2 linked regions of the Chlamydomonas reinhardtii genome follow. The protein of the gene in region 1 binds, or shares a complex with, the protein of each later gene. Links are inferred from orthologs where the notes say so. Each region holds a gene or a part of one and is shown on either strand. Other genes may lie near its edges.

Region 1 (4,171 bases):
ATCGGTCCAGCAGCTCGTCGAACGACAGCTCACCCTGGGGAGAGGCAGGCAGGCAGGAGAGTAGTGGCGGGCGGGAGGGAAGTCGGTCTCAGTCGGTCTTGGTCAGTCTTAATCGGTTCTTCTCAATCGATGCTGGGGCAGATGGCAGAACGTCCCCACATCATTCACAGAAAAAGCAAAAGAGGAGGTAGCATGCGGGGCTCTCACCTTGGGGCTGAGCACGATGCTTGTGAATGCGTCCAGTGCGCCCGGGTGCTGTGTGGCCTCCACGATGCGGCTGATGAGCGGCGGGTCGGGCGGGCTCTTGTCGGCGTACACCAGCTGCAGCATGGCGCTGATGGTGGCGGGCGAGCGCAGCGTGTCCCACCTGCAAGCACAGGGAGGTGATGGAGGCGGCGGCGGTTGAGATGCATGCGGCAGGTGTGTTTGCGTGGAGGTGTCAGGTAGGACAGCTGAAGCGCAGCGCAAACAGCGCTGTGTAGATCCATGCGGTGTGCTCAGCGGCTGAACGTCTCGTGCTCACCAGTAGCGCTCAATGACGCTCTTGAGGGACTGCGGGGCAAAGGGGCAGCAGCACAGCGTATCCCTGTCAGCACACGAGGCTGCTGCACGTCACTCCACACCACACGTCGCCCATGCAACTCGCCCGCTGGAGCCTGCCTCTCTCTACCGTACTGCACAGCATCATCGCGGCATGGCAGCACTCACGTGGGGCACGGGCACGGAGCCGTCCACCGCGCGGTCCAGTGCCCGCCACAGCCAGCTGCGCGCCTGGGCCGACGCGCGGGGCGGCCGGAAGGCCCTGCGCAGTCGCATCGCCAGATGTTGTGCTGCGATATCCTGACAGTAAAAGGACTAGCTAGCAGATGAGAGACCATCGTTTCCACCGCACCGCACCACAGCCAGACACCGCGTGTGTGTGTATCAGGAACAGCACAACGCAGAAGGGGGGTCGACGCCGCGAGTGCGTGTGGCGCCAGCACCGATTGCATGGCCCAATGGCTTCAAGGAAGTGCCAGGTGTGGATTCTGTTCTCACCGCACCAGCCCGCGCCGCCATGTGCCCCCGCTGCTCACCAGAAGGGCGTTGCGTTTAGCAGCGTCAGCCCCTTGACCAGGTCGGGCCGCCGAGCGGCCAGCATTACGGCCAGGTAGCTGCAGGCGGGGCAGGGAGAAGGCAGGTTCAGGCATGCCTCTAGGGTTAGGCCATGGCAGCGACGGAACGGGGCCGCGGCCTGTCATCCCAAGCTACAGCAACCGCGACCAGAAGGACCCCTTGGCGAGACTGCGAGCACGCTGTGTGTGAGCGTGCACGCGGGCCAGCAAGAGCTGGGCACTGTGCCCCTGCCGCTCACAAGCATTCCTATACAACCTTCACCGCCCTCCGTTGCCTGTAACCCTCTTGGGTTAGTTTGGCTTTACGGTAAGTAATCCCGCCCCCTCGCAGCGCGTACTCACCCTCCGAGGGAGTTGCCGGCCACGTACGCGGGCTCTCGCACCACCTGCTCCAGGAACGCCTCCAGCTGCCGCGTCCAGGTGTCCACGCTGAAGAACAGCTTGCCCGCGGCGTCCGAGGTCGACACAGGCTGGGCCGGCCAGCTACGGCCTGTGGCGTGTGTGCATACGCGTGTGTGTGTGTGGAGTCAGCAGTACGTTGACCAATGGTTAGCACAGGACTTGGTGATTGTTCGAGTTCAAATTATGCCGACACCCACGGGGCGGACAGAGCAGGGCCGGACACAAGTGCAAGCGATTGTCCAGCACCATATAAAGCACCCCTGTGCGCACTCACCCTGCCCCAATAGGTCCACCGCCCACACGCGGTGGTCGTGCTGCAGGTCCTCCCAGTTGCGGTGGAAATGCCAGCTGCCCACTCCAAAGCCGTGGAGCATCAGAATGGGCGGGCCGGACTGTGCGCGGGGGGGGGGGGGGCGGCAAGTGGTAAATCGCAGGGTGTGGGTAGAGTGCGTTCACCATTGCAATCAGGATTGGGAGGACGAAGGGGCGGGGCCGTCCGTGAAAGATGACGGGAAGGCTGCAGGGATGGTAGTGCCTCATGACTTATGCGACTCAGTATGGTGAGTTCGTGAGTGGAGTTCCCACGCAACCGCGCACCTCTCCCTTCTGGCGGTAGCATATTTGAGAGTTGTACTCCCTGCAGCAGGCGCGACGCGGCGGTTGCCCAGGCGTCAGAGCGTGAAGGCCGCGAAGGCAAGGACCTAAACCCTGACACGAAGATTGTGCCCGCGCTGCAGAAGGCTGCTGGCGTTTGCGATGCACTGCCCCCAGGGGCATCCGGCTCCACGCAGTCAGCCGACCCCGAAAGGGGAGTTGCGCGGTGGGCGCTCATCCGCTTACCAGTCGAAGTACAGCTCCTCGCCCCACTCCCCAGTGGACATGGTGATGGGCCGCTGCACGTGCACGTCACAACGCACGGGGGGCTCAGGTCCTCTGCGCCAGGACTGTGGAGCAGTATTCCGCTTTCCCCTTGAGCTGTCAACCGTCCCCAGATATTGGTCCAAGCCGTGACTAGCTGCATCTGCTCCGCTGACGACACCCAGGAATTGTTAAAGCGACCACGCAACTGCTTATGTCCCAGGCAAGCGCTGTTTCAACGCAGCACTCGGCAGAGACTCACCTCCTCCCTCCCGCTCGTGCTCGTTCCTGCAACATCTGTATGCGCCTGTGTCTGGTTGGAGCTAGCTATTTGCAAGCGTTTTAGGAGAGATCGTGCTTGCAGTGGACGAAGAACTGAGCTGGAGCCGTGTTGCGCCAGTCGCTGGTCACAGCCCCTAGCTGATAGCGCTTGCCTCATGGTTGCATTAATATGGCATTGAATGAAAATACTAAATACCTGAGCAGCGACAGAGATTTTCGTGAGTCCCAAATGTTCCATGCCCATTGGTTTTCTTTACCATCGCCCGCTGCGCGAGTAGCTCAATGCCCAGCCTTATAAGGTGAAAACAAGCTTTACTTCTTACCTTTGACGACGCGTTCAAACGACCTGGTGTTGTGCCGCTTTCTAATAAGCTTTCCACTCGTTAGTTCATGTTGCCAACTTATCAAAACAAGATGTGTTAAATACAGCTCTTCGCGGGGCGATATCCGGTCAGCCCCGCGGTCGCGCATGTCTAGCAAAGTGAGCAAATGAGCCGGCCAACGAGCAGGCAGTCAGAAAGCCGGCCCCAGACGGTTGAGGCCCAGCCTGGTGCGGGGTCTTTGCAGACGGTCCCGTCACCAGCGCGGCAGGCATCGAAAAATGGCAGTCGCCCAGCAACGCGCGAGGCTCCAAACACCGCCAGGGGGGACGGGGAGACCCTGGGCGTCGTACCTTCATGCCCTGGGAGGCTAACGGATGCTTACGACGTCCAGAAACCCGTGGGGAAAGGCGGCTATGCGGTGGTCTACAAGGGCATCCGCCGGGACGACGGTCGCGTGGTGGCCGTGAAGAAGGTCGAGGTGAGCTACTCGCTGGGCGGCCTGGGCGTGTTTTCCATGGAAGACCTCCGACGGGAGGAGAGCGGACCAGGGGGCAGTGTTCCAGGCATAGTGCGCAGCTTCACAGGCGCTGGTTGGGCGCTGGTGTGCCGCTGGGGCCAGGCCGGGTTACGGTTACGGAACGGCAGGCGTGGGCCCCAACAGGCGGTCAATATGATGGCCGCTCGTGCAAGCGTGCCACGGACATAGCCGACAGCCGCTCAGCAGTGACAATCCACGTGCAGCAGCTGCACGGCCACCCGCACCGCTGAGCTGCGGCGGGACGCGGGCAAGGCGCAGTACGGTGGCGGCTGCTGGCCGTGGGCTTGCCTGGGGAAGCCCGCCGCCGCAGCTGGTGGCCCCAGGCGCAGCCGCACAGACGCAGCTGCGGTGGATCTGGGGATGCGCGGGTTGCAGGCGCAGCGGGCCACAAGCCAGTCGGCGAGTCGGCAGCAGCTGGCCGCGCAGCCACTGAGGGCTCCAGCCGACGGGTCTGTACACCGCGGGCCACACAGTCCGGCTGGGGTACTGTGCTGATGGATGGCAGGATGGGACGCAGTGGTCGTGGGCCGGGCCTGTAAACCCCGCCTAGCCGCTGGCAGCGCAAGCTTCCACGCGTTGTTTTGGGTTGAAGTCATCCAGGGCAAGGGCTGCAGAACAAATGTCCGCGGCGTCGGCGACGTCCTTCTGTGCCC
Region 2 (4,121 bases), on another chromosome or scaffold:
TCCTCACACACACACCGCCGCCTCCCCCCACCTGCAGCGCCTCCCCCCCACACCACCACATCCTGTCATCCTCACACCCCCACCTGCAGCGCCTCCACGGTGGCCAGCACGTTTAGGTTGGGCGACAGGGTGGGCTTCACACCGCGGGCCTGTGTGGGGTGGTTGGGCAGTTGGGGCGGTTGGGCGGTTGGTCGGATGGTTGGGGCGGCTGGAATGTGGTTAGGGTGGGGTTGGGCGGGTCAGCAGCAGACGGGGCCTGGCGGGGCCTGACGGGTGGCATGCGTCCACGTGGGCCCCCACGCACACATACACGCACGGCATGCCGTACACTCCTCTTCGTGCATCCTGCTAAACGTGTCACACACTTTACTTTATGCTTGCTCAAAAACACGTACACCACGCACAAACATGTACGGCACACACCTTGATGATGTCTTCCACGGTGCGAGCCACCACGGGCTTTGGCGTGAACCTGCGGGAGTGGAGGACAAGCAGGGGGAGAATGGCGCCGGTTGGGCTGGGAGTGGGGCTGTACTGCTGTAGATGCCGTCCCAACCTACAGCAATCCCAATGCAAACGGGCGACGAGGACAGCGTGGCCTATGCTTTGACAACGGAGAGGCTGAAGAAGAAGGTTAAGAGCAGTAGGAGTATGAGTAGGAGTAGGAGTCGAGGCGCTGCCAGGACCAAACGTGTAGAGGGATCACACGGGCTGTTTCGGCTGCTCTCAGCGAGCTCCGGTCGCTGAGCGGAAGGCTCAGCTGCTGAGAGCTTCAGCCCAGTGAAGGGGGCTGCGGGCTCAGCGCGCTGAGTCGCTCGCCCAGCCGGACGAGCGGCCCGCACCCCCCGGGTTAGCCGACGACTTAGCCGGATGAGCGGTGGGGCCCCTCAAGATTGGCCAGGCGTCCTTGATCTCTCTGAAGCTCCACGAGGCGCCACGAAGTCAACCATCGAACAGCCGAATGGCTCGGATCGTCACTCATTCGATCCATTGCCCACTTCGGCACGCCCACACGCCCACCACCGCCTGCGCACCCACCTGTCGTTCTCGTCGCTCTGCACGCACACCACCGCGTCCACCTTGCCGCTCTGGAGCATCTCGATGGCGATCTGCATGGGTAACGGTACGGCAGCGGCAGCAAGTATGTACGGCGGGTACGGGAGCGAGGGGTTGACAAGCGGTTGGCAGTACGGCAGCAGCATCGCAGTAGCAGAGGCGGTGGGGGCGGTTGGTACAGGTAGTTGGGAGCGCGGCCCGCCGAGGCATATCAGTACGACATTGCCCACGCATGACCCCATGCAATACCAAGACCACGGCGCGGACGTTGTTCCCTTAACACCACCCCCATCCCAACCCAGGCACCCACTTATCCACCCATCCAACCAACCCCACCATCTACACCAGCCAACCCCCACTTGAGTCACAATGCCGGTCCACTGCGCTCCCGGCACGCCCGGCACGTTGGCAGCGTAGGCCATGCCGCCCGGGGCCGTGACGCCAAAGTGGAGCTCGTCGTCACTGCGGGGGGGGGGGGTGCGGGAGTATGTGTTGAGTGGCGGCGTTGAGCGTGTTGAAAAGCACAAGGAAAACATTGCACAAAGTCAGTGTATGCGATGCAGCAAAGCGACGGTTTACGAATGTTGCGTGTGTGTGTGTGTGTGTGCGATGGAACTTGTGTTGGGAGCCTGGGGTGATGTGAGGAATGTGAAACGTTGACATTTGCTTGGCGTGGCAACGAGTCCAAGCCAGCATAGGAGCAGCGCCACCGGGCGATGGCGCAGGCATTGCTTCACGGCTAGAGCGTTGCCGCGACACCGCAACACCACACGGCCACGCGCTAGTGCACATGTAGTACTCCTCCGTGTGTGGGAATGCTTGCGACTACCCCGGCTCCCCCACGCTCTCCTCCTCGCTCGTTTGCATTGGGTTTGGGCTGGTGTTTACAACCCCCCCTCCACCCCACCCCACCCCATCTACAGCCCCACCTGTTGACGTCGCGGCGGCGGCCGTGCACGCGCTCCTCCAGCTCATCAATGCGCGACATGCCTGCATGGAGGGATGACCTTGTGTCAAGAGTCGGGGCAGGTGACAGAGTCTGAGAAAACGCAGTACCCCAATTGTCGACACCACCATCTCTCCGCGCCCCCTTCCCCCCAACCCTGCCCGGGTGCCATCCCCTGCCCATTACCTGCTCCCCCCTCCTCAGAACCCCTCCCCTCAGCTCCCTACCCGGCCCCAGGAAGGCACACGCGTCTTTCACGTGCGCCACATAGTACGTGTCGCACAGCCCACAGTTGGAGCAGTGCTCCTTCGCGGGGTAGCTGCTGCCCGGCTGGATTGGCTTGGCGCGCTCGCGCCAGTCGGGTGCTAGCGTGGAAGAGGATGCGGATGAGGAAGCGCCGGAGGAGGAGGAGGAGTTGGCAGGTGTGGCCGAGAGCGGGCGCAGGAGCGGCGCGCGCAGCACAGGGGCACCGCCGGGAGCAGCGGCGAGGCTCGCCCTGCAAGTGCAAGCAGTGTGTGTCGTGATGTCAGAGGTGGGGCATCGCTGGAGCACCGCTCTGCAGCATTGAGTATATTTGGTCAAAGCCTCCTTCTAGAATGCGACATGAACGTCGGGAGCCTCACGCATTGCTCCATGCACGAGGCTTTCACCTGCGCCTCGAGCACCCAGCGACACCCTTCGCCGAGCTGCTGTGAGCACCGAGCATTTGTGCTGGCTTCAGTGCGTGTGCTCTGGTCCGCGAGGCTCAAAGACGACGAGTGAACTGGTCCAGCAAGCCAACTTGTGAGTCCAGCACAGCCTGTGCTTAGCAATGTATGTTTATGCAGTGACTAAGGTAGCGAATTACGGGCATTAGCAGCCTTCCAGTTGCGCAGTTTGCTCGCAAGGCCCGTGGGTCCCTTGGAATGAGCTGGCGCGACCGTGGGCTCTGGCTCGCTTAAGCTGCCTCAATTTGCGTAAGAAACGATTTCCTCTCGCTTTTAGCTGCCCTTATACAGAACAAACCCTTAAAATGCTGCAGGCCCAGAAGCGTGTTGTGTTTGGCCAGGCCCAGCGCCGCAGCGCTGTTGCCGTTGTTCGCACTGCCCCTGTGGCTCGCCGCATGGTCTGCCAGGCGGCCAACTGGAAGGGCGACAGCGAGGAGAAGCTCCAGCCCAAGTGAGTTTCGGGGCAACCTCGCGTTTCTTTCTGTAATGGCTGCTTTGAGCCTCAAAAAATGCTCAAGTGGATGAATTATATTTAAGGGGTGGACGGCCGGGGGCGAAATGCTGTTGTCGAGCTCGGTGCTGCGTTGCAGCCCCTCCCGAGCACAAGTTTGCTTGCACCACGATCTGCGCGACTAGCGAGGCAATGCACCAGCGTCTTGCTTTCACAAATGCATTATGGGCGTGTAGGCTCGGTGTGTGCGCGACGCCGGTGCGCGAGGCCAACCGTGCCTCGCGACATTTCGCTGGCCGATCGCGCATGCCCCGGCAAACAAATGACTCCCCCTCTCCGCCTCGACAGGGAGATTGTGCTCCGCTCCGTGAACGTTATGGTTCTGGGCGCGCTGCTGTCCATCGGCGCGGCCCCTCGCCCGGGCAACCTGGGCATCATCGACTACGGCGCAGGCGTGCAGACCCTGAACCTGTGCCCTCCCTCGCCCAACTGCATTGCCACCTCCGAGGAGGGCAACGACCGCACCCACTATGCCCCTCCCCTGTGAGTGTTCTAACACACGCCATTTCAAGGGCCGGGGGGCATTGCTATAGGGGCAGGGGATTTTGGGAGGACTGGAGCACGGCCAGAGAGAGCGGCAGGCTGGCAGGCACTGTGGCAGAGCAGCGGGAACGGCGGGGGCTGAAGGCTCTGCACGGCTCACAGCACTACCGGTACACCCTGTCGTACCAAGCTCTCGCCTGCGCCTCCACAGGACAGTACGGCAACTTGACCTGACGCACACGCACTGGCGCCCCCCTTCCCCACCCGCAGGACCTACAACCCCGAGGATGGCCGCGGCAAGAAGGGCCCGGCCAGCCAGGAGAAGGCCATGGGCGAGCTGGTGGAGGCGGTGGGTGGCGACGATGTCGGGTTTGGAGGGAAGGGGGAACGTGTGTGTATGACACGCGTGTCGAGGTCG

The links. Proteins that work in one complex are often made in the same cells at the same time.
Region 2: CHLRE_12g514700v5 (region 1) and CHLRE_11g468700v5 share a complex: the UniProt entries of both Arabidopsis thaliana proteins name them as parts of the SGR1-CCE-LHCII complex. The link is inferred for Chlamydomonas reinhardtii from reciprocal best matches to the Arabidopsis thaliana genes PPH and HCAR.

Annotation. Positions count from the first base shown.
Region 1 is NC_057015.1:3,711,684-3,715,854, reverse strand, and holds the start of CHLRE_12g514700v5 (uncharacterized protein), read right to left. Parts: upstream 2,804-4,171; 5' UTR 2,638-2,803; intron 2,411-2,637; 5' UTR 2,399-2,410; coding exon 2,358-2,398; intron 2,155-2,357; coding exon 2,115-2,154; intron 1,910-2,114; coding exon 1,792-1,909; intron 1,606-1,791; coding exon 1,458-1,605; intron 1,155-1,457; coding exon 1,077-1,154; intron 803-1,076; coding exon 709-802; intron 553-708; coding exon 524-552; intron 368-523; coding exon 208-367; intron 35-207; coding exon 1-34. Other genes in the region: CHLRE_12g514650v5 (uncharacterized protein), read left to right, coding at 3,147-3,458. UniProt on the Arabidopsis thaliana protein: Alpha/beta hydrolase dephytylating specifically the Mg-free chlorophyll pigment (pheophytin), yielding pheophorbide. No activity on chlorophyll. Belongs to the chlorophyll catabolic enzymes (CCEs).
Region 2 is NC_057014.1:2,061,626-2,065,746, forward strand, and holds the start of CHLRE_11g468700v5 (uncharacterized protein), read right to left. Parts: upstream 2,801-4,121; 5' UTR 2,709-2,800; coding exon 2,653-2,708; intron 2,499-2,652; coding exon 2,230-2,498; intron 2,047-2,229; coding exon 1,986-2,046; intron 1,519-1,985; coding exon 1,416-1,518; intron 1,110-1,415; coding exon 1,039-1,109; intron 473-1,038; coding exon 424-472; intron 150-423; coding exon 84-149; intron 1-83. Other genes in the region: CHLRE_11g468750v5 (uncharacterized protein), read left to right, coding at 3,015-3,160, 3,509-3,703, 3,974-4,052. UniProt on the Arabidopsis thaliana protein: Probable iron-sulfur flavoprotein that converts 7-hydroxymethyl chlorophyll a to chlorophyll a using ferredoxin as a reducing equivalent. Catalyzes the reduction of a hydroxymethyl group to a methyl group. Belongs to the chlorophyll catabolic enzymes (CCEs).